3 linked regions of the Callithrix jacchus genome follow. The protein of the gene in region 1 purifies or fractionates together with the protein of each later gene. This does not show direct contact. Links are inferred from orthologs where the notes say so. Each region holds a gene or a part of one and is shown in the gene's direction. Other genes may lie near its edges.

What was found.
Region 2: the proteins of GNA13 (region 1) and ARHGEF11 purify together in Homo sapiens (affinity purification with western blotting; 3 studies listed by BioGRID). This does not show direct contact. The link is inferred for Callithrix jacchus from reciprocal best matches to the Homo sapiens genes GNA13 and ARHGEF11.
Region 3: the proteins of GNA13 (region 1) and ARHGEF1 purify together in Homo sapiens (affinity purification with western blotting; 5 studies listed by BioGRID and IntAct, with this or other methods). This does not show direct contact. The link is inferred for Callithrix jacchus from reciprocal best matches to the Homo sapiens genes GNA13 and ARHGEF1.

What each region holds. Positions count from the first base shown.
Region 1 is NC_133506.1:124,266,856-124,271,094, forward strand, and holds the start of GNA13 (guanine nucleotide-binding protein subunit alpha-13), read left to right. Parts: upstream 1-1,330; 5' UTR 1,331-1,482; coding exon 1,483-1,765; intron 1,766-2,066; exon of another isoform or gene 2,067-2,236; coding exon of another isoform or gene 2,237-2,291; intron 2,292-2,999; exon of another isoform or gene 3,000-3,214; coding exon of another isoform or gene 3,215-3,257; intron 3,258-4,239. UniProt on the Homo sapiens protein: Guanine nucleotide-binding proteins (G proteins) are involved as modulators or transducers in various transmembrane signaling systems.
Region 2 is NC_133519.1:17,334,199-17,337,841, reverse strand, and holds part of ARHGEF11 (rho guanine nucleotide exchange factor 11), read left to right. Parts: coding exon 1-12; intron 13-311; coding exon 312-674; intron 675-1,733; coding exon 1,734-1,829; intron 1,830-2,739; coding exon 2,740-2,987; intron 2,988-3,200; coding exon 3,201-3,390; intron 3,391-3,643. UniProt on the Homo sapiens protein: May play a role in the regulation of RhoA GTPase by guanine nucleotide-binding alpha-12 (GNA12) and alpha-13 (GNA13). Acts as guanine nucleotide exchange factor (GEF) for RhoA GTPase and may act as GTPase-activating protein (GAP) for GNA12 and GNA13.
Region 3 is NC_133523.1:36,929,072-36,932,714, forward strand, and holds part of ARHGEF1 (rho guanine nucleotide exchange factor 1), read left to right. Parts: intron 1-324; coding exon 325-470; intron 471-3,643. UniProt on the Homo sapiens protein: Seems to play a role in the regulation of RhoA GTPase by guanine nucleotide-binding alpha-12 (GNA12) and alpha-13 (GNA13) subunits. Acts as a GTPase-activating protein (GAP) for GNA12 and GNA13, and as guanine nucleotide exchange factor (GEF) for RhoA GTPase.

The sequences.
Region 1 (4,239 bases):
TTCTCTGCCAACCCACAGCTGTCACTTGTGGCTTGTCTCCTGGCCTTTCAGGTGTCCTGGCCTGAATCCGCTGCTAAGACAGAAAAAAAGTCCCCTGACGGGTCACATCCTCTGTAATCTGGCAGGAAACCTAAAATTTGCATGCTCCCATTCCTCCTGGTGTTTGTGTATCTGCTTCCTTGTTGGGAATAGCCTGCATCACAGTGTCCGGTGTAGGGGATTTTCACCATGACCTCACCCTCCTGCTGCCACTCACTGATTCCAGCCTGGCCAAGCGTCCCCGAAGCCACATCACAGCCCAGGTGGAATGCACATGACTGAGCCATTAAGAGCCCCTAGTAGCACGTCTCCGGTGAACATCAACTCCAGTTCTTTCCCCTGGTAAGGGGGGCGGGGCTGGCAGGGTCTGAAAATGCCAGAAAGAACTGCAAGTGTGGGCGGATGATGTCTGGTTACTGTTCTGGGATTCGGAGAGTAGAAGGTCAAGGGAGTCACCTTATGAAAACACACCAGGCCAGGGAGCAGTGGCTCCGTCTGGAATCCCTACACTGTGGGAGGTGAGACTGGAGGATCACTTCAGCTCTGGAGTTCAAGACCACCCTGGGAAACATAGGGGGAGACCCCGTATCTAAAAATAAATACAAAAAATTAGCAGGGCATGATGGCACACTCTTGTAATCCCTGTGATCCCAGCTACTCGGGAGGCCGAACCTGGGAGGTGGAATGAGCCAAGATAGCGCCACTGCACTCCAGCCAGGGTGACAGAGAGACTTCACCTCAAAAAAAATAAAAAATAAATTAAAAAATGAAATAAAGAAAATGCACCGAAGGCATGCCAGGCTCACGCCGGCTGTTCTGTTCAAATAACTTTCGAGTCCGTGGCCTCGAAAAGGGTCCGGTGGGCGGTGGCAGTGGGCAGCAGGCGCACGCGGGAGAAAGGGCGGCTAAGTGGGAGCCCAAGGAGCCGCGTCCGGTACCTGGTCTCCGGCCTCCAAGCCCAGGGGAAGGAGCCGTTCTGCCCACAAGTGGGCGCAGACCACGAAAGGGAAACAGAAAGTTAGACTCCCCCGCCCCGCCCACGTGACCGCGGCTCCCCAGCCCTCTCAGCGCGCTCCCGGCGGCGGCAGCGAGTGCGGGCACCGGAGCGAGACAGCAAGCGCGTGACTCGCCGCCCAGGGCGGGAGGCGAGGGAGCTGCCGCGGCGTGCGAGCGCGCCCCGGGAAGCGGCGGGAGCGCGCACGCGCCGGGGCCACCGCCCCTCCCGGGCCGGGTCCGCCCTCCTTCCCTCCCTCCCCCGCTCTCCTGGCCCGCCCTGCCCGGCCCGCCCTGCGAGTCAGTTCGCTGGTTCCCTCCCTCCCTGGGCGCGCTCGGGCCGCCGCTGCGCTCCCCGCCCTCGAGCCGTGGTGCCAGAGCCGCCCGCCGCCCGAGGAGGAGGTGGAGGGAGCCGGAGGGGCCCGCCGAGGCGGCGGCGGCGGCGGCAAGATGGCGGACTTCCTGCCGTCGCGGTCGGTGCTGTCCGTGTGCTTCCCCGGCTGCCTGCTGACTAGCAGTGAGGCCGAGCAGCAACGCAAGTCCAAGGAGATCGACAAATGCCTGTCCCGGGAGAAGACCTACGTGAAGCGGCTGGTGAAGATCCTGCTGCTGGGCGCGGGCGAGAGCGGCAAGTCCACCTTCCTAAAGCAGATGCGGATCATCCACGGGCAGGACTTCGACCAGCGCGCGCGGGAGGAGTTCCGCCCCACCATCTACAGCAACGTGATCAAAGGTGCCGGGCCGGGAACGGGGGCCCCGGCTGTGGGGGCCGGGGGACTGGGGCGGCGGCGGGCGCGGGGCCGGGCACCGCCCTCGTCCGCTCCGTCGCTGGCGGAGGACCGGGCTTGGCGGGCGTGCTGGCGGGAAGGGGGCGCGCCCCGGGCACTGGCCCTGCCCGCCCGGGGTGCCCTCGTCCCCCAGGCGAGAGGATGCTCGGGGGCGCCCTGTTCTCCCCCTTGTCTCCTCGGTGGGCGTCACGGCCATTCCCTCACCCCCCACCGCGCCCCTGGTCTCGCCCCCTGCGAGAGGGAAGTGAGGCGAACTGGGTGTCTCGGGGTATGGGAGACCTCTCTCGTCCTCCCCGCTGCGGATGAGGCAGGAAGACCCTAGAGCAGCCTCAGCCCCTGCACCCCCATTCCCGGCTCGGGCGATGTGGGCCGAACCTCGCTATCCCGGCTGAGTGACCCGAGTCACATGGGGTCGCATGCGCTCCCAACTCCCTGCTTCCTTGACCGCCTCCAAGTTCTGGAACCGTCGCAGTAAGGGAACTTTTTGCCTTCTTGTCAAGGGCGTAGGGTGGCAGCCTCCTTTTGGGCAAGGGTATGAAACTTGAGAGTGTCAGGTTGACTGTACTGGAATCAGGAGAGAGTAGACCCATACGGTTAGTCTAAAAAAGTAGCATCTGCCCTTTTTCGCCCCACTGTCACTGTCAGGTAGGATGTTTGCATATAATCGCTGTGCAGCACGCTCCACTCTCCTTTTCGCCAAGTAGCTGAGGGCTGGCGGGAAGGGAGTGCCACTACTTCTATTTAGATGAAATGTTGTAGTTGTAAGAAGACTGGCTTAAAAGTCATGTGGATCCTGTACAGATGAAGACAATGAATGAGTGTTGAGTTAGATAATTGGCCCTGCTCTTTATTGACAGTAGTTTTAAAATTAAATTTTGTTTTTAAGTGGAAAAATAAACAAGTTGTTTATTTCTGGGCATTCAAAAGAATCGAAAAGATGGTTTTTATTTTGTCATTTGAAAGATACTCATTTTTCTGTGTGTCATGTATGTTCTATAGAAAAGGCATTTTGGCAGAATTCAGGTGCAGAGCCTGATACTTCACGTGCATCTGGATTTTATTTTATCTAGGGAGCAGTTCAGGAGCTTGCTACAGATTGCAGGTTTTTTTCATGTCACTCCCACTCCTCCCCTCCCAGCGTTTGGGTAAAGGAAAACTGCCTGAAGAGGCAGGCATTGTGGAGTAATGACTAGAGAATCTCTAGGCCAGCAGCTCACAGACCACAGCCTAGAAGACCTAGTACCTCTGCAGTTAAACTATAAAGAACAGTTGTATTTACCCTGCTGTAATGTTTAGCACAAAACTAATTAAGGTCTCTTTCAAGGCTGCAGACTCTGCCTTAGTCCTTAATCGAAGGTACCTTTGTATCCTGATGCAGCTGAACTTAAGGAATTATGTTAATGAATAGCATCAACTTGTTAACTGATTGTGAGCCAGGTAAACACCTCGTTCTTAATGTACACTGAGTTGTTAAGTGTGATCTACTTTGAGCATTGATTATGAGATGAAGTAAGTTATCAGGAATCTAGTGTTTTTTAGTTGACATGAAAATTGACAATAAAACAGCTTTTTCAGGCTGGGTGTGGTGGTTCACTCCTGCAGTCCCAGCACGGAGGCCAGAGTGGGAGGATGGCTTGAGCCCAGGAGTTCCAGACCAGCCTGGGCAACATAGCCAGACCTCATCCCTATTAAAAAACAAAAAACTAAAAAACACCAGTTTTTCAGTTATTCAAACAAATGACTTCCTACTAGCCAAGTGACTGTTCAGATGGATCAAAGGTAATAAAAACAATAGATCAGTGATAGAAAAAGCAAGCTTGAACTAACCTCTGTGAGCTGGAGTTCAATTTTATATTATTTTGCAGTTGATCTTGCTTTTAGGGAAATTGAAGGCTGTCCTGTGAGTTAAACTGAACTGAAGCATGGGCTGGTAGAAGTTTTTAAATTTTGAATGTTCCTAGAAGACTCAACGTTGGGTTAGGGTGCCGAAGGAGATAACAGAACACAGAGCTAGAATACTTGGTTCTTAGTGTTTCATAAGTGAACATCTTTTAAGTTCATGAAATCTTGGTTGTATCTATTTTCTTCCATGCTTGGACAGCGGTCTATGCAGCATAAGTTCTTTTCCTTCTTGAGTTTGGTTCTTTTTTGACTGCCTTCTACCCCAGAAGTTATTTTATAAATTGGAACATGTTGAAAGTCCTTCAGAAAGAGCAATTGTGCTAATAGTATTTGTTTTCCAAGGCTCTACTTTTAAGACAGTGAGTGGCTGTTATTTTTTTAAGCTCTGAGAAGTTTTTGATGTTGGTCTCCATTTTGGGAGAAGGTATGTCTGGATTGATTCAGAAGTCTAAGGAAATAATACTGGAATAAAAGCTTATGATAATATCTAATGACTTCTTCCCATACATTTTCTTCT
Region 2 (3,643 bases), on another chromosome or scaffold:
CTCTGGAAGATGGTGAGTGCCTCAAGGCCCTGGCGTCAGCCTCTGGTCCCCAGTCACACAGCCTATGTAAACTGACAGGCGCCTGCACCCTCCACCTTCCCAAAGACTCTCCCTGGTGTGCTTGGGGAGAGGTGGATGCGGAGACAAATGTCATTGCCCAGCCAACCCCCACCAGCTAGTTGGCCAGAGCCCCCCAGCTCTGCCTGTGCCTGAGGTCACCACCTTGCATGGGGTCAGTGGGGCAACACAGCGATCCCTCTGGCGTGGCGCGCAGTCCGGTGCTGGGAAGACACCACCCTGTTTCCCTCCAGTGGAGAACCTGCGACGCCTGATCCTGTGGAGCCTGCTGCCAGGTCACACCATGGAAACTCAGGCTGCCCGGGAGCCCGAGGATGACGTGACACCCACGCCTTCAGTCATCGGCGTCACCTCTCACCCCTGGGACCCAGGCTCCCCAGGGCAAGCCCTCCCTGGGGGTGAAGGGGACAACACCCAGATTCCAGGGCCGGAGGGGGAACGGCCAGAACAGGAGAACATGGCTCTCTGTTCTCTGGAAGATCTACCCCCAAGGACCAGAAATTCTGGGATATGGGAGTCTCCAGAACTGGATAGGAATCCGGCTGAAGAGGCTTCAAGCACAGAGGCAGCAGGAGGTTACAAAGTTGTGAGAAAAGGTAAAATAAACGGGCATGTCCAGTGCAGGGAAAAGCACCCTTGCTAGGTGAGATAAGTCTTCGGAACAGCTGCGTCCTTCCCTATGCTGCCCCTGGGTGTCGTGTGAGCAGAGACCTACGCTGGGTCCTGGAAGAAGGCGACGTGCCACTATCAGGCAGGCTTTGGAGCTGGACGGTGGAGATTCAGAGCTTAGCTCTGCCGCTTAATATCTGCGCGGCTTTAGAGAAAATTGTGAATCATCTCTCAACTTCATTTTGTAACACATAAGGGCATTTCTTTCTGCCTGGCACAAACCAACTACCAGAACCTGTCTCTGTTAGTGCTCCTCACTGAGCTCCTGGTCCCAGGGAAAAGAGCCGCCCTTCCCAGGAGCCTCAGCCCTAGACAGACGGGGCAGGGGCACGCAGCCCCTCACGCCAGGCAACAGCACCGAGGGCAACAGAGGTGGCAGCTGGAACTGGAGGGCGTGGAGGACAAGGCTGGGAAGACACCTGGCGAGTGAGGGGTCTGGGAGTGAACAGGGTGACAGGAAGGCAGCCCGGGTTGGGGAGCACCACAGGCGGCCTTGAGATAAGAAAAGCCGAGACAAGCTCGCAGGGAGGCAGACAGGTTTGCCTGGCCGGAGCAGTGAGCCCAGGGAGGAAGATCCTCACCCCGGGAAGAGTGGGCTAGTCTGAGAGGGTGGCAAGAAAGGCAGAACAAAGCCTGGGACACACACAGGGCAGGGTTCCACTAGGGGGTCTTGCGGCAGGGGCTTCCCGCCCTCCCCTGGGGCTCCGCTCTGCCTCCCTTCCAGTAGCGTTTTTATTCCATCTGCCCGAGGCCTGCCTCTCTCCTGGGTTTCTGGGAACTAACCTTCCTTCTCTCTCGGTGAATTGGTGGAAAGTTCTCTGCGCTGCCTGGGATGTCATCATGTATGATCTTGTGTTCACCTTGTTCTTCCCGTTTTCTCCTCCCCCTGCCCCCACCTCCCGCCCTCTCTCCTTCCTGCTGTCTCTCCCTTCCCTTTCCTTGTCTTTTGGTCTCTCCTCTTCCTGGTGGTGGTGGTGTCGGTGCAGCTGAGGTGGCAGGCAGCAAGGTTGTCCCTGCACTACCAGAGAGTGGCCAGTCAGAGCCTGAGCCACCTGAAGTGGAAAGCGGAACAAAGGCTACTGGTAATAACTTTCTCCTCGGAGCCAAAGACAGGCCAGGACTGGCATGTGGGACCTGAGGGCAGAGCCAGACCCCTGCCCGCAGTCACACACACACCCACCAGCTCCCTCAGCTGCCTGGAAAGGGGAGGAGGAAGATGTGGACCTAAGGATGCGGAGGGGCCCTGTGCTGTCCGTCCAGCTTTAAGAAGCCACCTGTCCAGGCTCCTGTTCAGAGCAGCAGGGATAAACACCTGTGTGCAGTTGTGAGAGGGGCAGGGAAGCCTGGCCTGGTGCCGGGAGCCCAGTGTCCTTCACCTGATACTCGAGCAGCTGCTTGCCCACCCCAGACGCCACTTGAGTGTCACTGTGGAAAGCGGCTGAAAGGGCCTCCCCAGTTCCGCAGTGGTCCTCTGAGCTTCCCGCCTGTCAGGAACCCTCCACGTCTTTCCTCCAACTGTCTCTGGTGCCCCTTGGTTGGGTCGAGGGACCTCCAGAGGCTCGTGGCATGGATGGCAGAGGAGCAGGGCAGGGCTGCAGTTCATCCAGAGCTGGAGTAAGGCAGGGCGAGAGAGCCGCCGCCTGCTCCTTTCAGAAGAGCCTGAAACCAGCCCCTGATCTGTTCACTCAAGGAGGGGGAGCCACTCCCGTTTCCCCAGATGAAACACTGCAGCCTGACACTTCTCCCTTGAGTTCACTGCTCAGCATCCCCCCAGGTTGGGGCCAGACTGAGCAAAGTGCCATCTAGAAAGGCTGGGGAGCAGGGCTTTTAGGGGGCTGGCAGACAGTGAGCAAGGGCCACGTGCTCGGGGTTCGCCTGGAGAGGGCTGCCTGGCCTGCGCTGTCAGGCGGCTGGGGAACCCCACGGGAGTGGGAGGATAGCTCCAACTTCTCTGTTTGCCTCCTGATCGCTTTTCTCTTCTTGTGGGGACAGGGAACTGCTTTTATGTCAGCATGCCAGCAGGACCCCTGGACTCAAGCACTGACCTTTCAGGGGCACCCACGAGCCCCCCTCAGCCTGACAGCTTCCCTGCAGGGCAGATAGAACCTCAGCCTCAGCTGCAGGGAGGCAATGGAGATCCAAGATGCCTCAGCCGCTCTCCCCCAAGCCTGGCCCTCAGGGACGTGGGCATGATCTTCCGTACCATTGAGCAGCTCACCCTCAAGCTCAACAGACTCAAGGTGAGGGAAACAGAGCTTGTCCCTGCAAGACTTCAGTCCGTCACCCCAAAACCATTCCCCATGAGCCCTAGATCCTGTCCTGGCCCGGAGATATTCCCCAGCTCACTCAGCCACTCTTAAATCACACCCCCTTCCCCAAGGCCCAGCACAGATCAGAGTGTGACCTTAGGAATAGAAGGACTTGAGCAGACATTCCCCCACCGACTCTTCCAGGACATGGAGCTGGCCCACAGAGAGCTGCTCAAGTCCCTTGGGGGAGAGTCGTCTGGTGGCACCACGCCCGTGGGCAGTTTCCACACAGAAGCAGCTCGATGGACAGACGGCTCCCTCTCACCTCCCGCTAAGGAGCCCCTGGCTTCTGACTCCAGGAACAGCCACGAACTGGGGCCCTGCCCTGAGGATGGTGAGTGAAGCCAGGTCCCTCTTGGTACCTACCGTGAGGGAGAAGTTCCCCAACTTGTGAGGACGCATTGCCAAGCAGTAAGAGATAGTGGTTCTGAGAGTCTGGTTTCCCCTTGAGTGAAACGAATTCATTCCCTCAGCTTCAGAGAGGGACCCCACAGACGCTTCCCCGCAAAATGGGGAGCTTAGAATTGAGCCCTCTTATTCCTTGTGCTATGGAGGTAACAAACCAGGAGGAGCCTGGTCTCACATCC
Region 3 (3,643 bases), on another chromosome or scaffold:
TCAACCCTCTCCCTTCCCCCATCCACTAAGGCAGCCTGGAGAATCAGGGAGGGACTGTTGTCAGAGTCATTGAGGAATGGGCATTGGAGGCTGAGGTCATTGAGGCCAACTATGGTCACAGACATTGGAGGAGGAGGGAGTAGAATGTTTTTAGAAATCTGGGGACTCTAGTCTGGTCAGATCTAGAGATCTGGTCTGTCACACGGGCTACCCTTGGGGCATCAAATGCCAAGGCCACTGACCGGGGTTGAACACTCTTAAGAAGTTGAAGTCTGCTTCCTGAGATGGCCCAAGCTGGGGCCCTAGCAAGACCTCTGTCCACAGCCCTGAGCCTGGAGATGACGGGGAGCCAGGACGGTCAGGACTGGAGCTTGAACCAGAAGAGCCTCCTGGCTGGCGGGAACTCATCCCCCCAGACACCCTGCACAGGCTGCCCAAGAGCCAGGTGAAGCGGCAGGAGGTCATCAGTGGTGAGTGCCATCCCATCCGCCTCACTGTGGCCAAGGACATAGTCCAGCTCTGGAAAAGGCAGAGACAGGCGCAGAGAGAAGTGCATCTTGGTTTTGTTTACTATAGGGAGAGCTTGAAGACAGCTTCAAACTCCCTCTTCTTCCAAGTTCAGATTGTTCTAGCAGAGAGCATTTCAATGAAATGTGAGTGCCACTGTGGAATGGACATTTCCAAATAATTTCTTTTTTTTTTTTTTGAGACGGAGTTTCGCTCTTGTTACCCAGGCTGGAGTGCAATGGTGCGATCTCGGCTCACCGCAATCTCCGCCTCCTGGGTTCAGGCAATTCTCCTGACTCAGCCTCCTAAGTAGCTGGGATTACAGGCACACACCACCGTGCCCAGCTAATTTTTTGTATTTTTAGTAGAGACGGGGTTTCACCATGTTGACCAGGATGGTCTCGATCTCTTGACCTCATGATCCACCTGCCTCGGCCTCCCAAAGTGCTGGGATTACAGGCGTGAGCCACCGCGCCCGGCCTCCAAAGAATTTCTGGTAGTGCGAGACAGTGCTGACGTTAAGAACATTGCATTGCCAGGCACGGTGGCTCACGCCTGTAATCCCAGCACTTTGGGAGGCCGAGGCGGGTGGATCATGAGATCGGGACCATCCTGGCCAACATGGTCTGGTGCAAGCCTTTGTTTCCTTACTTGTGAAATGTGGGCACTAATAGTTCCTACCTGAAATATTGTCATGAAGATGCGATGATTTATGTGACGTGTTTAGCACAGAGGAGGAGCATTTTATTTTTTATTTATTTATTTTTTTATTTGAGGCAGGATCTGTCTGTCTCTCAAGCTGGAGTGCAGTGGCATACTCATGGCTCGCTATAGCCTTACCCTCCCAGACTCAAGTGATCCTCCCACCTCACCTCCCGAGTGGCTGAGAACACAGGCCTGCACCACCATGCCCGGCTAATTTTTGTATTCTTTGCAGAGATGGGGTTTCGCCATGTTGGCCAGGCTGGTCTTGAACTCTTGGGCTCAAGTGAATCTCCTACCTCAGCCTCCCAAAGTCCTGGGATTACAGGTGTGAGCTACCAGGCCCAGTCAAAGAAGAGCATTTGATTTTTTTTTTTTTGAGACGGAGTTTCACTCTTGTTACCCAGGCTGGAGTGCAATGGCGCAATCTCGGCTCACCGCAACCTCCGCCTCCTGAGTTCAGGCAATTCTCCTGCCTCAGTCTCCTGAGTGGCTGGGATTACAGGCACACGCCACCATGCCCAGCTAATTTTTTGTATTTTTAGTAGAGACTGGGTTTCACCATGTTGACCAGGATGGTCTCGATCTCTTGATCTCGTGATCCACCCACCTCGCCTCCCAAAGTGCTGGGATTATAGGCATGAGCCACCGCGCCCGGCCTAAAGAAGAGCATTTTAATGAGATTGTTGTTACTAGTATGATCTTAATTGCTTAGGGAAGAAAAGATCCCCATAGGGGAAAGTTTGGGGGAATGATCAGTATATTAGCAGTGCTTGCTTCTGGGTGGAGAGATGATGAGTGTATCATTTTTGTCTTTGTCTTTTTTTTTTTTTTTTTTTTTTGAGACAGAGTCTCACCCTGTCACCCAGGCTGGAGTGCAATGGCGCGATCTCGGCTCACTGCAACCTCCACCTCCCAGGTTTGAGTGATTCTCCTGCCTCAGCCTCCTGAGTAGCTAGGATTACAGGCATACACTACCACTCCAGACTAATTTTTTGTATCTTTAGTAGAGATGAGGTTTTCCCCCTGTTGGCTAGGATGGTCTTGAATTCCTGACCCTCGTGATCCACCCGCCTTGGACTCCCAAAGTGCTGGGATTACAGGCGTGAGCCACTGTGCTTGGCCATTTTTGTCTTTTTCTTTTTTTCTGTGCTTTCTCATTCTGTGGTGGCTAGGGAGGTTGGTGGCAAAAAGAGAAAGCTTTTGGACTTGATTGAAAGCTTATTTACAGATTACTTCATAGTAAAAAAGGTACTTATTCAAACATTTTAGGGGAGTAGATGAGTACTTTTTGGGTCACAGATCCTTCTAAGGACATGAAATTTACAAAAACAAAAAATCACGAGCCATATCCTATCCAATAAGACTTTCTGGAATGGAAATGTGCTTTATTTGTACTGCTCACCTTGGGGACTACCAGCCACCTAGGGCTGGTGAGCACTTGAAATGCACTAGGCCAGAGGCAGTGGCTCATGCCTATAATCCCAGCACTTTGGGAAGCTGAGGTGGGCAGATCACTTGAGGTCAGGAGTTCAAGACCAGCCTGGACAATACGGTGAAACCCCGTCTCTACTAAACATACAAAAATTAGCCAAGTGTGGTGGCGCATGCCTGTAATTCCTGGTACTTGGGAGACTGAGACAGGAGAATTGCTTGAACCCAGGAAGCAGGACATGGAGGTTGCAATGAGCCCAGAACATGCCACTGCACTCCAGTCTGGGCTACAGAGCAAGACTCTGTCTCAGAAAAACAAAAAAAAAGGCGAGGCTTGGTGGCTCATGCCTGTAATCCCAGCACTTTGGGAGGCCGAGGAGGGTGGATCAGTTGAGGTCAGGAGTTCAAGTCCAGCCTGGCCAATGTGGTAAAACCCCGTCTCTACTAAAAAAATAATAAAAATTAGCAGGGCATGGTGGTGCATGTCTATAGTCTCAGCTACTTGGGAGGCTGAGGCAGGAGAATCGCTTGAACTCAGGAGGCAGAGGTTGGAGTGAGCCAAGATCACGCCATTGCATTGCAGCATGGGTGACAGAGCAAGACTCCATCTCAAAAAACAACAACAACAAAAACACTAAATACAACTGAAGACTGAATTTTTAAAATTTCATTTCATTTTAATTAATGAAAATATAAAGAGTTGCATGTGGCTAGTGGCTATCATGTTGGACAGCATGTCTCTCCAGAAAGAATATCCATAACACACAAAATCCTGCACTTTAGTCTCAGGGGACTTCTGGGGCCCCTGAAACTCACACATATGCCCTCCAGGGTTGGGGGGGGATCCCTGGATCTGAATCTGTCAATCACTATGTAATGTGGCCTGATGGTTAGACATTAAACACAGCTGCAAGCTTGCTGGCAAGTGGGATGACCAACTTGTCCCCGTTTGCTTGGGACATTCCCAGTTTTATCACTGAAAGCCCAGGCTGGCAAACAG